Cricetulus griseus: one gene and its partners. The protein of the gene in region 1 interacts with the protein of each later gene in a pairwise test. Links are inferred from orthologs where the notes say so. Each region holds a gene or a part of one and is shown in the gene's direction. Other genes may lie near its edges. The genes, in order: Setdb1, Mbd1 and Mrpl44.

Region 1 (5,228 bases):
CACTCAGGTGAATTTTGGATTGTTGATAAACTAGTTGAAAACTGTTGCAACTACTTACTTGTTTTGGTTTTTGGTTTTGAGGGAAAGTTTCTCTATGTGTCTTTGGCTGTCCTGGAACTCTTTCTGTAGTTCAGGTTGGCCTCAGCAGAGGATCACTCGGAAAGATCCTCCTGCTTCTGCCTCTTGAGTACTAGGAGTAAAGGCATACATCACCATTGTCCAGCTTATGTATTTTCCTTTTTTTTTTTCCCCCTTGGATGTAGTGTCTCTTTACATGACTCTGGCTGCCTTGGAATTCACTATGTAGACTGACGGCCTGGAACTCATAGAGATCCCCCTGCCTTTGCCCCTGAAATTAAAGGTGAAGGCATGTGCCATCCTTCCTGTATAAATTAAGCCACTATTTAAAACTGAAAGGGGTAAACTAAACTAAAAGGCTTCTAATAATTTAAAAATAAAGGGACCAGACCCTCACTCAGCTCCCTGCTTTAGCAGCCATGACCGGGTACAGAAAAGACAGGTAGGCCTCTAACACAAAGAAACTCTAGATCCTCTGGCCTCCTGGAGCGTCGTGCCAAAACTAAAGACAAAGAAACTCCAGAACCCCCTCCCCCGCCCCAACTTTGTAGGTTCTTGGATCCTGGGAACTGTTTGGCCACAAAAGAAGCTCCAGGGGAGTCAGAAGCCTCCCCTGTAGTCTCCAGGATACAGTTCTAAAAACTATTGGTATCTATGTATGATAGGCCACCTGCAAGTAACAAGACAAAACCATAGAAACCACAGAATGTTCCCTCTCAGCACTGACCAATGAGAATACCTGGTACTCAGGTATTTTATGCCAAAATATGACTTTGAGAAATTTTCCTGATTGTTCCCACATGTCAACCAATCAGAAAGCAACCCGTGCCTACTGATGTAATTCTGTAACTTTTGTCTTTAAAACCTAGCAGTAGACAGGGAACTTCCCCTCTGGAGGCTGCTGCATCAGCTTGCTAGACAGGGTCCCTCCCGAGGTAGGATAGACAATTTAATAAACCTTGTGCATTTGCATCAGTGGGTCTGTCTTCCTGGTCTCCTTGGGGGCTCCTTGTGACTCAGGCTCAACAAAAACCTTATTCTTAGTTCCCAAATCCATATAGATAATTAGTACCAGGTCTTCTGACTTCCAGCAGGTAGAAAGATACAACTCTGCCAAATTGTGTCATGTAGAAACAAGAAACATTATGGAAAAAGCATTCTGAATAGATACTTTGAAAAATGAAGGGCAAACAGTCTATACATACATACATAACATACATACATATTTCTTGTTTTTTTTTTTTTTTTTTTTTTTTTTTTTTTTCTTGTTACTGTGTTGTTGTTGCTGTTTTTAAAGGTTTCTCACTTGTAGGCCTTGCTGGCCCTGAACTCACTGTATTGTTCAAGCTGACCTCAAACTTAGTCAGTTCTGGTACCTCAGGCTCCTAAGTACTAGGATCATAGGTGTGAGCTCCTAGGCTTGGTATTGCATAAATGTGTATAAATTCTAATGCTCTAATAATAACTTACTTTCCCCACTGGCTTTGATCTTTTCTAATGTGTTCCAATATTAGGGCAGTGATTAATTGTGAGTCTTTGGTGAAGGATTTCTACTCTAAGCTGGGACTGCAGTATCATGACAGTAGCTCCGAGGATGAAGCTTCCCAGCCTACAGAAATAATTGAGATTCCTGATGAAGATGATGATGTCCTCAGTATTGATTCAGGTAAATGATGAAGCTTTAGTTAGAAAATTCTTAGAATGGGCCAAGTGTGGTGGCATGCGCTTGTAGTCCCAGCACTGGAGGAGGCAGAGGCAGGCAGATGTCTTGAGTTCCAGAACAGCAGAGCTACGCAGAGAGAGCCTGTCTCAAAAAGACCACAAAAAGGAAGGAAGAAAGAAAGAAAGAAAAAAAGAAAGAAAGAAAGTTAGTTCTTAGAATGGAAGGTGAATTATTAGAAGATGAGCAGGTAGAAAATAAGGAAACATATTGTCAGCAATTCCTCATACCCACTTGCTGGGCTTATTTATTATAGAAAAAAGCAAGTTCCGTAAGTGCTATATCCTGATTGCTTCCTTTTCCCATTTCAGATGAGGTATATTTATTTTCTGTCTCCCCCCTCCCCCCATGTTTGTGTGTGATATACCTATCTATGTTAAATTTCTTTTTCAGTTACTATGATAAAATGTTCTGACAAAATCAGTTAAATGGGAGCTAGGTGTTGGTGGTGCATAACTTTAATCCCAACACTCGGGAGGCAGAGACAGGCGGATCTCTGAGTTCCAGGACAGGCTCCTACCCATTACAGAGAAACCCTTTCTTGAAAAACAAAACAAAAACAAACAACCAAAACTCAGTTAAAGGGAAAGGGACTTAGTCTGGTTCACAGGGATTCATAGTGGCAAGAGTCTGGAGCATCTGGTTCCATTGTATGTGAAGTCTGGAGACAGACTGCCTCATGCTGCCTGCTCAGCTAGCTCTCTTTCTCTCTTTATGAAGTCTAGGGAATGATAACCACCCACAGTGCGCAGGTCCTTCCACCTCTACACAATCAAAATAATTCTCCATTGGCTTTCACAGAGTTCCATTTCCCAAGTAATTTAATTTTGTCAATGTGACATTAATGGTCACAGTGTATGCGTACATATGCATGTTTTGGATGTGTGAGTACGTACATGTATGTAGGTGTGTATGCATGTAGAATTCAGAGGTTTACAGCTTTCTTCCTTCACTTTATTATGGAGGCAGAGTCTCATTGAACCTGGAGCTTGCTAATTCTAGCATGTATAGATAGCCAGCTTACAGTGTGTCTCTGCCTTGTGAGTCCTATGATTACAGGTTTAGGGTCTGAGGATCCAAACTCCAGGACTTAGGTCTTGTGATGCAAACACTGTATCCATTGAGCCATCTCTCTAGAATTTTTAAGATAGGATTTTACTGTAACTGTGTGATGTTGAACCTACCGTGTAGTGCATATTAGTCTTAAACTTGTAGCAGTACTGCTTTTTTTTTTTTTTTTTTTTTTTTTTAAAAACAGGGTTTCTCGGTTTCTCTGTAGCTTTGGAGCCTGTCCTGGATCTCGTTCTGTAGACCAAGATGGTCTGGAACTCACAGAGATCCGCCTGTTGTCTCTTCCTCCCGAGTGCTGGGATTAAAGATGTGAACCACAACTGCTTGGCAAAATACTTCTGTTTTCTAAATGCTGTGATTACTGACATAGGCCAACATACCAGATTTATGCTGTATCTTATGGTTTACCTTAGTAGGTAAATTCAGCATTTATTTGGATTCCCTAACAGTGCTTGCTTGTTTGCTTGTTTGGTTTTATTTGTTGTGGGTTTTCTCTTAAGGGTGGTGTGTCTGTTTTTTTTCCTTGTATGGATATTTTGCTTACAGGTATGTTTATCTACCATGTCTACTGTGTGTGTGCCCAGTATCCACAGAGGCCAGTAGAGGTCATAGGATCCCCTGAAACTGGAGTCTTGCCTGGTTGTGAGCTTCCTTGTGGGTGCTGGAACTCAACCTGTGTCCTCTGGAAAAGCAGCTAGTTCTTCCAATTGCTGAGCCATCTCCCCAGCCTTTTGTTGTTTTTTTAATCTTTTTAAATTTTATTTTATGTTCACTGATGTTTCCCCTACATGTTTGTCTTTGTGAGGGTGTCAGATATTGGAGTTACAGACAGTTTTGAGCTGCCATGTGGGTGCTGGTAATTGAACCCAGCTCATGGAAGAACAGCGGTGCTCCTAATCACTGAGACATCTCTCCAGCCCCTTTTTGTTGTTTTTTTTTTTTTTTTTTGAGATAATGTCACTATGTAACCCTGGCTGTTTTGGAACTTCCTACATTGACCAGACTGGCCACAAACTCAAAATGAAACACCTCTCTTTGCCTCCTGTGTGCTGGGATTTCTGTTATATGGTGTTACATTAAGGTATTATTCTCATAACATAAAACATACACATGTTAACTATGATTTGAGTTTTAGTACATTTATGTAGTAATCCAAGTTTAGCAAATTTGTATCATTTCAAAATACTCCTTTTGCCTATTTGCCTCAGTTTCCATGGTCACCCCTAACAACTACCCATCTTGGCTTCTCTGTATGTCTGTCACTTACAGATACATATAACTAGAATATATGTATATATCCTGTCATTGGGGTTGTTTGTTTGGTTTTTTTGTTTGTTTGTTTTGTTTTTTGTTTTTTTGAGACAGGGTTTCTCTGTGTAGCTTTGGAGCCTATCCTGGCACTTGCTCTGGAGACCAGGCTGGCCTTGAACTCACAGAGATACCCTGCCTCTGCCTCCCGAGTGCTGGGATTAAAGGAGTAGGCCACCAATACCCAGCTTTTTTTTTATGATCACTTAATTTTTTTCAATTGAAATCACTATTGTAAACAACATGCAAATAAAAATAATCATGCAGCTAGATTAACATAGCCCAGACCAAAAGTCTCTATTTGAACTTCTGTATAGTATAGAATAGTCATTCTGAAGCTATGGAGCTTCATTTTGGATTTTACACTTTGATTGTTACTTTCTTTTGAAACAGGGTCTCACAAGTAGCCCTGGCTGGCCTAGAAATCAGTATGTAGACAAAAGTGGCCTCAAACTTAGAAATTTGTCTACCTCTGCCTGCTGAATGCAGGAATTAAAGCGAAACAGGGTCTCACAAGTAGCCCTGGCTGGCCTAGAAATCAGTATGTAGACAAAAGTGGCCTCAAACTTAGAAATTTGTCTACCTCTGCCTGCTGAATGCAGGGATTAAAGCATGTGTGTCATGCCTGACCTCAGTTACACTTTTATATATTATACACACACACTGTCTCTCAGTTGTACTTTTGTATTCTTAAAACGCACATATACACACATACACACATACACACATACATACACACACACACACACACACACAGCAAAAACCAAAAAATCCTTAACAGAGTACAAAGTAGAAAAGGCGAGCCTTAGCCATTTGTGGCGGTGCACATCTTTCATTCCAGCATGGGGAAGCAGGAGGCTGAGGCAGGCACATCTCTACAAAGTACATTCCAGGACAGCCAGAGCTACACAGAAAGAAAAAGTTAGCCTTCTCTCCTCCTGTGTGCCTGTCAGGTGCATTCTATTCTTCCTCATCACCCAGTGTCTTCCTTTCTCCGTGGTGTGCTGCACCTCTATGTACATTTGTGTACATATATGTGTATACATTGTAG
Region 2 (5,919 bases), on another chromosome or scaffold:
ATCTCCAGATACTCAACAAACTTTTTCCTATCTGCACCAGGTCTTTCACCATAAGAGTCAGGCTTTGTCCCACTTTACTGAAACCTATTTATAGTCTACCTCTGAGGATCTATCCCATTTAAAGACTATCACTATTTCTTGAAAAGTTTGCAAAACGTCTAAGCCTACCTCCAGGCACCAGAGTCTCCCTTTCCCCACTCATCAAGCCAGGGGATCCCTGTCTGGATCAGACTGGCAGCTCAACTCGACTTCTCCCACATGCCTACAGTTTAAAGCTTCAGATACCTTTTTTCCTTGTAGATACCTTCTCAGGATGGCTAGAAGTTTTTCTCATCACTAATAAAAGATCACAAACAGTTTCTGATCTCCTTTTTAGGGAGATCATCCTCCGTTTTTGGAGTTCCAACCTCCCTTCAATCAGATGAGCCTGAATTTACCTTTCTAATCTAAAAACTTTGGACAAAGCCCTTAACAACCCATATCTCCTACCATCCCCAGTCTTCAGGCAAAGCTGAACAAACTAATCATTCTCTCAAAAATATTCTTATCAAACTTTCCCAAGAACTACATACAGATTGGATAAAACTCCTGCTATTGGCTCTCCTGTGACTAAGCCCTTCCAAAGAAGCCCCTCTTCATTCCCCCCTTTTTTGACAAAACTGATCTCATCTCGTCATACTATCTCTTGTTTCAAACCTTAATCTCTGCATATCAGTTATTGAATAATGCCTTGCCTAACTGCTTTGAAGAATACTGGTTGTGCAACTAGAACCAAAGAAATGCACCCTGACCCTGAAAACCAGTGCCAAAGAAACACACTTTGTCTCTGGAGTCAGAGCCAGTGAAAGAAATACACCCTGGCCCTAAAACTAGAAGCAAAAGGCTAAAAAGGACCAGTGAAAGAAACATACTTTGGCCCTGAAACCAGAGCCAAATCTGACCCTAAACCTGTGCAGAAAACTAACCAATCCTGGAGCAGATCTAGCCATCCTAAACTCAGGGATTGAAATCTGACCAAACCTCACCCTGGAAAAACTCCACCCCATAAAAATCCCTATATAAACTCTGTGTCTGTTCAGCTTGTGGTTGTTCAGGCTGCCCAGCTGTACTCTGCCATCCTGACATAGAGCAGCCACTTTCCTGGATCCTTCTCTCCCAATAAATCTCTTGAATGAGGTTTGGGTGAGACCAGAGAGGACCCTGGGTAGAGAGGAACTTCGGCTCTTTGGGGCAGGGGGAGGGGGGTGAGGCAGAATCGTAACAACTTTGCCAGGAAGCCCGCTCCTGCAGGAGCAGAGCTGATACACCAGGGAAGCCTTTCACTGAAGCAAAGCTGTAAGCTGCTATGCGTACTGTGACCGTGGTATTTCTTGGCTCCCGAGTGCCAGCCAGGATACCTTTCTATCCAAGCTGTAACACTCAGTATTCTGTGACTCCTGAGTGCCAGAATACCTTCCCATCTGAGCTGTAACACTCAGTATTCTTTGGCTCCCGAGTGCCATAATCCATCCCTGTCCATACCAACACAGCAGGGCCAAGGAGCCACTGGGTGAAGCACAAAAATGGAGTTAGCTTAATGCAAAACAGGTTACCTTGGTCAGTTCACCATCCCCTCCCATTGGCCTTTGAGGTATGGTCAAGCCCTCATTTGGTCCCTTCATTAACTGCTTACACATCTCGCCTTCTCCCTGGTTCCCAAGGAAGAAACCTGGCCAGAATGCGCAGTGCTCCTGGAGGTTCCAGGAAGTAGTGAGTACCAATCCTGAAGAACGTAGTCGCAGCAACAAACTGTGTGTGGGGGGGTGTCTCCTAGGAAGGAAGAGGACAAACGAGCTCTGTGATCGTGAACCTGCTATTTTTGGAGACGAAAAACTAGAGCAGGCAAGCTGGCCAGGCTGTCCACTTCCCCTTGTGTTGGGACCAGACGTCGCCTGCACGCTCGGGACAAGAAGCGCGCACTGACTTGGGAAAGCGCAGGCGCACAGGCAAAGAGGGAACTGAGAGAGATGCGGATGTTATCAGAGCGCAGGCGCAGCAGATCTCTGGAAAACCGCGCGCCCCTGAAAAGACGCAGTACGCAAGCGCTGGAGCCTCCCCACTGAGGGCAGGCGTGTGCAGACTGCACGCAGGTGTGGGTCCTGGTCAGAGCCCAAAAGGCAGCCCGTGAGTTTCCGGTTCCGGGAGTAGCCAACGGCAGCCCAGGCCACAAAACTAGTGCTTTGGCGGAGCTTGCGGTGGAGGTGAAGGAGGAAGAAGAGTGGACCAGGCGGGGCGCGCGGGCGCGGGATCGTCCCCATGGGTCCACGGGCCTAGCGCGGTGGAAGCTAAGGGCCTCGTGTCCAGCTGGTGAGACAGCCGCCGTGGGCATGGAAATGGAGAGTGCTCAGGAGGAGCTGGGGAGGAGTTGAGACTCCGAACGCTAGCGGGGAGACGCGAAGGGCCCTGAGGCCGGGAGGAGGAATGGCGTCTTCTGCGTATTGAGAGAGATCCTGGGGAAACTGGTTCGGGGCGATGACAACAATGTCGAGGGACTAGAATGGAGAGGAATGGAAGAGATCAGAACGTTTAGAGAGACGTCAGGCCTCCATGTTAACGGGATAGAAATGGGAACCCAAAGCTGATAGTGAGAAGACGGGGCCTGAGACAGGTCATAGGAGAAATAGCAGGGTTAGAATTATGAGGGACTAGAAACTCGTGGAGAACGAAAAGTGGAATGTCAGAAGACTGACACGGGTGCTATTGTCCCCGAACACCAACAGAAACTGAGAGGCAGGTCACTGTGTGAAGGAACAAGGAAGTTTTCACAGGGTATTAAGAGAAATGGAGAATGACAAAGATAAGGGTAAGAGTAGCGAACGCTGACAGTAGAGGTGAGGGATGAGACTGGAGAGGAATTGTGGGCCAGAAAAACGAGGGAAAATCAGTTTGGGGGAGAGCTTTGGACTTGAGGGGGAGATTGCAGGCTGAAGAATGAAAGGAAAGGGGACTGGTGTATGGAAGAGTTGGGCGCTCTCATGCATATAAATGCAGCCAGAACACTGACAGACATTGGAAACTCAGGTCAAGGAAAATGTGAATTAAGTTAAACTGAAGTTGGGAGGTGAGGACAAGAGACTAGGGACCTCATGCCAGATTGTAGTGTATGTGTTTGGAGGGTGTAGTATATATGTTGGAGGATGATAAAGAAGAGGGATGGCAAGGAAATACATGCGAATGTCTGGGGCAAGTATTAACATCAACACCGTTGTGGCCTAGAAGCAGAGTGCCACTAATTTCTTTCATACCTTACCTACTTCCAATCCTCCTAGGTGTTTCTTCATTTCCGAAGTACCTATGGCTGGGGACTGGCAGGACTGCCCAGCCCTGGGCCCTGGCTGGAAGCGACGTGAGGCCTTTCGAAAGTCAGGGGCCTCTTGTGGACGCTCAGACATCTATTATCTGAGGTAATGGGTGGGTTTTGGTCAGTGTTTAATAGAGTTGGGCCTTGTTAGTAATTAAACCGGTTTGTTTAAATCTATACATGGAGTTAAAATTGTTCACATAGTCAGTCCCTTATTAAAAGTTTTGTGTTTTCATAATCATCCATCCTTAATAAAGCTTATTTGACCAAAGTCAATATGCACATTCAATTGTGATTATTCACAGACACAAATGGGGCAGCCAAAAATTTGAATTGTCTAGTGCTTGCATTCCTAATAAGTTGAACAAGAACTTTTTGCTCCCTTTTGTACTGCAAATCCAGCATCCTTTGTGTGGTCTATTTAGTGCCATATTTTTGTTGTCAAATTTGTTGTTTAAAAATCTCCCAAATAAAGTGTTTTCTAGTGTTCTGAGTGCAAGAAGAAGGTCATGTGCTTTTTCTCCTTGTCAGATAAGCTTCCATGAATTGCATGTACTATCTGCTTGAGTTACAGTGTTAAAAATCAGAAATGTTACATCCCAAAAGAGAAGAGGGAACTTGCTTGGATGTGTGTGAGGCTGCTCTGGAAAGAACAAAAATTAAAATTTGTAGTACTTGATGCTCAGAGAAGTTGGGAAAGTAGCTGAATTTGTAGATTCATGAACTGATGGCTAGTAAAGAGTAGTGAACAACATTGTTATGAAGAAAGCCAAAGATATATTGGTCAGAATTAGGAAAAGGTCAATCATTTTAGCTGCTTCTGTCTGGTTTGCATGTTTCAGAAGGTGATATGGTATAAAAACATTAAACTTGTGATGTACTTCTGTATATCAGGTGTCTTCAGAAAAATAAGACCAAAACACTGGCAGACAAATCTAGACGAAACATTCTCTGAAGCCAGTGTGGCTCTTAATTATTAACTGATCGTGAAGTGAAGTCATTTGTAAGAAACAAATGTTACAAGGTCTTTAAACAAAATCACATAAAACAAGACTATGCATTGATCAGCTGCTAAAAATGTGACAGGCTTGCTGGAACCCACCTGTGTATTTCCTGGAGCAATGGTTCTTGCTGCATGAATTCAGGGTTTGTAGAACCTCATAATACATAATTACTGCATATAATGAGAATTGACTATAAACACATCAACATTAAAGTTCCTAAGTGTCGGGGCCAGTCGACCTGTCAAACAGTACCTGAAAAGAGGAGTGAGGATTTAGAAAGAGACAAAAGAAAGGATAGAATCAGGAGGGCTTTCAGTGAACGCTGCAGCAGCCCAGAATTTATTTCTCATAGTTTTTTTATACCCTAAACAAAAGGGGTGGGCAAAAGCCTTTCTTTCAAGAAACAAACAAGCACAATCACCTCCTTAATTCTCAAAACATCTAGTAACCACACCTCTGGTCAAACATCCTATTATTTGGCCTTGAGGAGCAAGAACAAGCTTGAACTCTCTGACCTTAAGATGGAATGGAGTCACTGTGGGCTCCCACACATAAGCATGTGTTCTGTATTCGTGAAACAGCTACTAACATTTCTACACCCTTCCTGTTTATCTAAGTTGTCATTTCCCTAGAATATCATAAAATTTCAGATATTTTCAACTTTTATGTTTTTAACTTTTTCCACATATGAAATTGTATAAAAATTTCAAAACTTACAAGTAATTGTCAAAAGATACATATTTATCAGACTAGTAAATGGGTTTGTTAGTTTTGTGGATGCTGATAGGAAATGTGATACTTCCTGGGCCAGATATAAAAAAAATTTCTCACAGTAGTATCAGAGCCTAAAATACCTGTTTTTGGCATTTCTTAGAATCCCAATCCCCATAGGATGACATGAAGAGGGCTAAGTAGCATATATGCTGCACTGTATATAGGAAAGGCAGCCTGTGTATTTGAGTTTAGAAAATCAAGTATCAGTATGATAAGCATTGCTGTCCTTTCCCCTGGAAGGGAGGGGACCTTTTCAAAAGTTACCTGTTTTTACAAACAATGAGAAGGTAGTTTGTTTCAGGAGATAATGAATGCCTCTGATGATTCTTGCAGAAGTGAAAAGACCTAGAATGTCATCCCTCAACATTAGCTACTTATACTTTGTATTGAATATAATTTCATTTTCATGTTTTAAAAAATAGTTCTGTTATAAGCTTTTATGATCATGCATTTGGTATGTAATACATAACATTTGAGTACTGGGTACTTGTCTAGTGTTCTTGGAGCCTTGAGTTTGATTTCTAGTACTATATACACTTCTGAAAAACTGGCACTGGGGTGGTAGAAGCAGGAGGATCAGAAGTTCATCTTTCTTTACATATGAGTTTCAAAGCCCTTTGGGTTAAAATGATATCCCCATCTCAAAGCAAAACAAACCAAAATACATATTTATATCTTACTTACTTACTATTTTGTGTTGATTTTTACTCATATTTTCAACACTAATGGTGTTACATGTTGTAAGTATGTTTATGTGTCTTCATTATTATTTATTTTGGAGCAGGGTCTCTCTCTACTGAG
Region 3 (5,885 bases), on another chromosome or scaffold:
GCTATCATAAGGTGGTTATAACCAATTGAAACAAAGGCATGGCTGCTGGTTCCTGGAACAAGTAGTACAGAACCATTTGTAGTTAAGGTTGTAAGTAGGGAATAGGGAGACATAGAGATTTAATCCTAAATAGGATGGAACCTAGTTTGTCTTTACTTTAAAAGGGCTTTCAAGCCCAAAATGGAGGCAGGCTGGTTCATCAGTTATATCGACCAGCTTTAGGTTATTTATCCCAATAATAAATGAAACGTTGCAGAAATAACAATTCCCCATGATTTGGTGAATCCACTTATCTGATGATGAATGAATTTTCAATGCTTTTACTACTATTTTTATCTGTTTTAGAGAATTTGCTTCAACTGGATGTCCATTGGAAGCCCCTTTATAGGTTAAATAAGCTGTTCAGACTCTCTCTCCATCTTGAAGTGTTAAGCTAAGAACCTCAGACTGGGCTGTACAATCTTAGCGCTGAAGACTTTCTAACTAGGCAGTAACATGTATTTCAAGGGAGATGAAATGGATGTCTGGGCAAAAAGACGGATGCGAGTATTGTTTGGAGGTCAATTACAATAATCAGAGAGAGGGGCAGGGAGGTACCTGATGTGGAAATAAATTGAGAAGTAATTTAGTAACCAGAACAAACAGTTTGTGAAAACAGGCACCATTAAAGACTCAGGAGCCTAGTCTGGGTGACTGCAAGGGTACTGCTGCCTTTATATAGAACCCTAGAAAGGTTCCTCTAAAGGTCAAGATGTTCAGCACAAAACTAAAAGCAGAGACACTTCCCTTTGTGACTTCCATTTACATTCTGTTAGGAAAGCTTCAGATAGTGAAGTTTTTTTTTTTCTTTAAGATTTTATTTATTTATTATGTATACAACATTCTGCTTCCATGGATATCTGCACACCAGAAGAGGGCACCAGATCTCATAACGGATGGTTGTGAGCCACCATGTGGTTGCTGGGAATTGAACTCAGGACCTCTGGAAGGGCAGTCAGTGCTCTTAAACTCTGAGCCATCTCTCCAGCCCCAGTGAAGATTTTTTTTTAAAGCAATAATTTTGCTGTTAATATTTTGATGCCCCGCCCAACACACACACACACACACACACACACACACACACACACACACACACACACACACACACACACACTTCTTTTCCCCATGATTAAAAAAAAAAAAAGTAGTTGTTATAACATACAAACCTAGGTTGAACTGGCTGTCTCCTGTGACCAGATTGGTACCTGGCACAACTGTCATCACAGAGGTGTCATCCAGTAACTGATGGAGGCAGATGCAGAGACCCACAGCCAAACATTAGACAGAGTTCAGGAATTCTGCGGAGGAAGAGGACAAAGGAGCGTAGGAACCAGACTGGTCGAGGGCACCACGGGAAGACTCACACAATTACTCATCTGGGCACATAGATGTCTACAGAGACTGAACAGACAATCTGGGAGCCGGCTTGAGAGTGACCTAGGCACTCTGCATAAGTGTCACATTTTTGTTTCTTTTTCCTCTTACGAGACTCCTAAGATAGGGAATTGGGCTTGTCACCTACCTTTTTACCAGCTTTTGGGACCCTACGCATACTGGGTCGCCTTGCCCAGCCTCAATACATGTGGAGGTGCCTAGTCTTATGGCAATTTGATATGCCATGTTTTATTGATACTCATAGGAGACTTGCACTTTTCCTGGGTGAAGACCGAAGAGGAGGTGATTGGGGTTCGGAGGGGGAGATGTGGGAGAGGGGTTGGGAGAATGGAGACTGGAGAATGCGGTAAGATGTAAAATGGATAAAAAATAAAATGCAAACTTTAATTTTGGTTAAGTCAAACACATTTCTGAACGTAAGGCCTTTGGCAGTGAGATTATTTTGGGAGAAGGGTCAGGTGAAACCTCGAATTTAGGAAAACATTTGCTCAGTGGTGGCAGGATTGATGTTCTACAACCTAAGGCTGAATGTAAACAAGTGTTTCTCTCTTGAGAATCTAACTGCGTTCTTCAAACTGAAAGTTCAACAAGTTTTTGTTTTACTTCAGTGGGAAATAAACACAATAGAGACTGACAGGGAAATGCAACTTTTCCCAGCAATTTCTGCACCCATACTCAGATCCTGGGCAGGAAGGAGCACTTGCGCAGGCGCAGAATACGCAGTCCGCCGCCGACCCGCCCTTGTGGTGGGTGTTTCCTAATTCTGAGTCCTCCCTTTGCCGCTCAGTTCCTGGGGAACTGTGTTCTGGCGACACCGGTCCGGCTGCCTTCCTTCCGCCCTTCGTTGCCTTGATCCAGCCATGGCTTCTGCTGTGGTGCGGCTGCTGCAGCGGGGCCCTCGCTGCCTCTTGGCTCCGGCAGCCCCCACACTGGTCCCCCCGGTTCGGGGAGTGAAGAAGGGGTTCCGGGCAGCCTTCCGCTTCCAGAAGGAGCTGGAGCGATGGCGGCTGCAGCGCTGCCCGCCGCCACCCGTGCGACGGTAGGTGGGCGGCCGAGGACACTGGGCTGCAGCTGCAGGCAGGTGGTGGGGAGGCCGCGCGCGGCCTGGGGCAGAGGAGAAGGGCGACACTGGCCGGGCTGTCCCCTGCAGAATCCCAGTAACCCCAAATAGAGAAATGGGGCCTGCTAGAGAGTGATCGCTTGAGGTTGGCCCAGCTTTGCGACTGCTCAGTCTCCGGCCTGAGATTCTTAGGGCGCCTTTAGGGGCGATAGCATCATTCTACACACAGTCCTGCAAACCAGGGCAGAAAAGTTCACTTCTGTGTAGAACTGAACTACGTGTCCACTGTCCGGAGTGAGAGGGGAAACGTTTAGGTTTTTGATCTAGTTAATCTCGTCGCTGGCTGGCCAGACACAGAAAAATAGCCATACGCTCTTACGAAGTGCACCATGCTTGCTTATGAGCCTGCTTCTTGCATCTTCTGTTTACGATGTCGCTGTGGACAAAAGTACACGTAGATGTACTTCATTCTTAGTCTGACTGGCACTTGACCGCCGTTAGATTGTTAGTACACCTAAAGAGGTGGGAACTGTCTCTAGTGTTTGGGGAACTTACTCCTGATGTGAAATTGTGGTTACTACTTTAATCTTGGTCTCCAGGAGAACACTGATCATGTTTACACTAATTCTTGAATTGTGTATTTAAAGTGTATGAGCACACACAGCCCCTTGTGTCTGCTCGGCAAACACTCCACCACTAAACTATAGCAGCCTCAAGCCTCACCATGGTTATGGATTTTTTGTTTGTTTGTTTGTTTGTTTTTGGAGACAGGGTTTCTCTGTGGCTTTGGAGGCTGCCCTGGAACTAGCTCTTGCAGACCAAGCTGGTCTTGAACTCACAGAGATCCGCCTGCCTCTGCATACTGCCCAGCTTAACATGCTTATAATACTGGTACTAGCTTAAGTGGACATTTCTGAAATTTAAGTAAATAGGATATAAACTAAATATAATATACTTTTAGTTTCTGGTCTGAATCTATATAGTTAGAATTTGTTTATACTTAGGTGTAAAGCATAATTTCATTGTCAGGGCAGAAAGAAGAAATTGAAAAGCTTGAACAATGGTCTAATGTAATGCCAGCAATCACTTTAATGTGGCAGTTAAGCCAAAGGGAAAATTAATCCTAACCATGTGTGTAGAATGTAACAAAGACCGCCAGTATTCGTCTGCGTTGCTTTTTTGTATTTAAACTGTTAGAACTTGACGTTAAAAGAAGCAGACTACGTTTTGTCCCTTTGTATAATTTCCTTTATCTAATAAAGCTAGAGCACAGTTGTGCATGGTGTCCTCCTGTCCTTACCATCTCTGTCTCTGCATCCTCAGTTCCGAGAAGCCAAACTGGGATTACCATGCGGAAATACAAGCCTTTGGGGCTCGGTTACAAGAAACCTTTTCCTTGGACCTTCTCAAAACTGCTTTCGTCAATAGCTGCTATATTAAAAGTGAAGAGGCGAAACGTCAGAAACTTGGGGTTGAGAAAGAAGCCGTTCTTCTGAATCTTAAGGACAATCAAGAACTATCTGAACAAGGGCTGTCTTTTTCACATAAGTGCCTCACACAGTTTCTTGAAGATGAGTTCCCAGATTTGCCCACCGAAGGCATTGAAAGTCTAGTTAGCTTTCTTACTGGTGAGGCAGTTGTCTGTCATGTGGCTAGAAACTTGGCTGTGGAGCAGTTGGCCCTTAGTGCAGAATTCCCTGTCCCCCTGCCTGTATTGCGGCGAACTTTCTTTGCAGTGATTGGAGCCCTGCTACAGAGCAGCGGACCTGAAAGGGCTGCGCTTTTCATCAGGGTGGGTATCGCTAATTCTACTTGTTCACACACACACACACACACACACACACACTTGATGAGGACAAACGAAAAGTGTCTTTCGTTCATACCTTTGATATATCTTTATAGAACAGACTGTTTCTCCCCAGAAAAACTGTCAAAGACCTAAACTTTTTTTTTTTTTTTTTTTTTTTTTTGGTAATTTTGTTGTTATTTCAATTTTTTTTTCTTTTGCGGATAGAGTGGAGTGCAAATATTAAATGCTGGGTTGTGAGTTCTGAAGGATTTAAGTCATTTTCAGCTTCTAATTTTTTTGTTTGTTTGTTTATTTGTTTGTTTTTCGAAACAGGGTTTCTCTGTGTAGCTTTGGAGCCTATCCTGGCACTCGCTCTGGAGACCAGGCTGGCCTCGAACTCACAGAGATCTGCCTGCCTCTGCCTCCCGAGTGCTGGGATTAAAGGCGTGTGCCACCAACGTCCGGCTAGTTTTGTTTTTTGTTTGTTTGGCTTTAAGGGGAAAGATTTATTTTAGCTCAGGGTCTAAAAAGGAATGTAGCCTGCCATGGTGGAAGGTGCGGCTGTGGGGGTGTGTCCTTAGGAGGCAGATAGCCACATGCTGTCTTCTACTTTGAATTTTGAAGTCATATTGGTCATATTGCTTGACATTGTTTTCTTAGGATTTGAAATTGAAATGTTTTTTTAAATTCAACTGTGATTTTTTGTTGTTGTTGTTAAAACTACAAACAAACAAGAACAACCTATGGTATAACTAACTCTGATAGAGTGTTTACTTGCCTTGTATGTGTGAGCCCATGGGGGAGAAGCCCAAACTGGAATTCCATAGCCTAAAACTGAAAATGTCCTAAAAATCTCAACTTTTGTAAGCAACACTTTGATGCAAAAGTTTCAAATTTTGGAGCATTTCAGATTTTCAGGCTAGATGTTTTAACATGTATGTTGGTCATTTATTCTGGTCGTAATATGCTTTGTTCTAATTTAAATGTATAAATGGTCATTTTATGCACAGGACTTTTTAATTACACAAATGACAGGGAAAGAGCTCTTTGAGATGTGGACTGTTGTAAATCCTATGGGACTACTCGTAGAGGAACTGAAGAAGAGAGACATTTCGGCTCCCGAGTCTAGACTCACCAGGCAGTCTGGAAGCACAACTGCTTTGCCTTTGTATTTTGTTGGTTTATACTGGTTAGTAAAAAATTATTCTTCACTTCATAACTTTGATTGGAAGCCTTAAAGATAGACTTCCAGTCTTTAAATGTTACTTCTAACAGCATTAAAATTGTATCTCTGAGCTGGGCATGGTGGTGCATGCTTTAATCTTAGCCTAGCATTCAGGAGGTAGAGGCAAGCAGATCTCTGTGAGTTCAAGGCCAGATTGGTCTACATCCAGGACAGAGACCCTGGTGGGTCAGGGGTGGGGTCTGATATCTGGATTCCCTCCCCGCTTTTTCCTATTAGAGGAAGACAAGTTACCTGTGTTTTGTTAATAGTAACTTTTAAAGATTTTTGTGTCTCTGAGTATTGGCCTGCGTGTGTGTATGCACCGAATTCGTGTGGAGACCAGAAGAAGCCACCAGTTCTGCTGGAGTTACAGATGG

The links.
Region 2: the proteins of Setdb1 (region 1) and Mbd1 interact in binary tests that used the Homo sapiens proteins (3 or more experiments, as listed by UniProt). The link is inferred for Cricetulus griseus from reciprocal best matches to the Homo sapiens genes SETDB1 and MBD1.
Region 3: the proteins of Setdb1 (region 1) and Mrpl44 interact in a two-hybrid assay, tested with the Homo sapiens proteins (2 studies listed by BioGRID and IntAct). The link is inferred for Cricetulus griseus from reciprocal best matches to the Homo sapiens genes SETDB1 and MRPL44.

Annotation. Positions count from the first base shown.
Region 1 is NW_023276806.1:61,140,561-61,145,788, forward strand, and holds part of Setdb1 (histone-lysine N-methyltransferase SETDB1), read left to right. Parts: intron 1-1,592; coding exon 1,593-1,744; intron 1,745-4,687; exon of another isoform or gene 4,688-4,708; intron 4,709-5,228. UniProt on the Homo sapiens protein: Histone methyltransferase that specifically trimethylates 'Lys-9' of histone H3. H3 'Lys-9' trimethylation represents a specific tag for epigenetic transcriptional repression by recruiting HP1 (CBX1, CBX3 and/or CBX5) proteins to methylated histones.
Region 2 is NC_048595.1:165,547,716-165,553,634, reverse strand, and holds the start of Mbd1 (methyl-CpG-binding domain protein 1), read left to right. Parts: upstream 1-2,074; 5' UTR 2,075-2,346; intron 2,347-3,308; 5' UTR 3,309-3,333; coding exon 3,334-3,443; intron 3,444-5,919. UniProt on the Homo sapiens protein: Transcriptional repressor that binds CpG islands in promoters where the DNA is methylated at position 5 of cytosine within CpG dinucleotides. Binding is abolished by the presence of 7-mG that is produced by DNA damage by methylmethanesulfonate (MMS).
Region 3 is NC_048595.1:432,480,897-432,486,781, forward strand, and holds the start of Mrpl44 (39S ribosomal protein L44, mitochondrial), read left to right. Parts: upstream 1-2,247; 5' UTR 2,248-2,294; coding exon 2,295-2,473; coding exon of another isoform or gene 2,474-2,511; intron 2,512-3,817; coding exon 3,818-4,286; intron 4,287-5,293; coding exon 5,294-5,472; intron 5,473-5,885. UniProt on the Homo sapiens protein: Component of the 39S subunit of mitochondrial ribosome. May have a function in the assembly/stability of nascent mitochondrial polypeptides exiting the ribosome.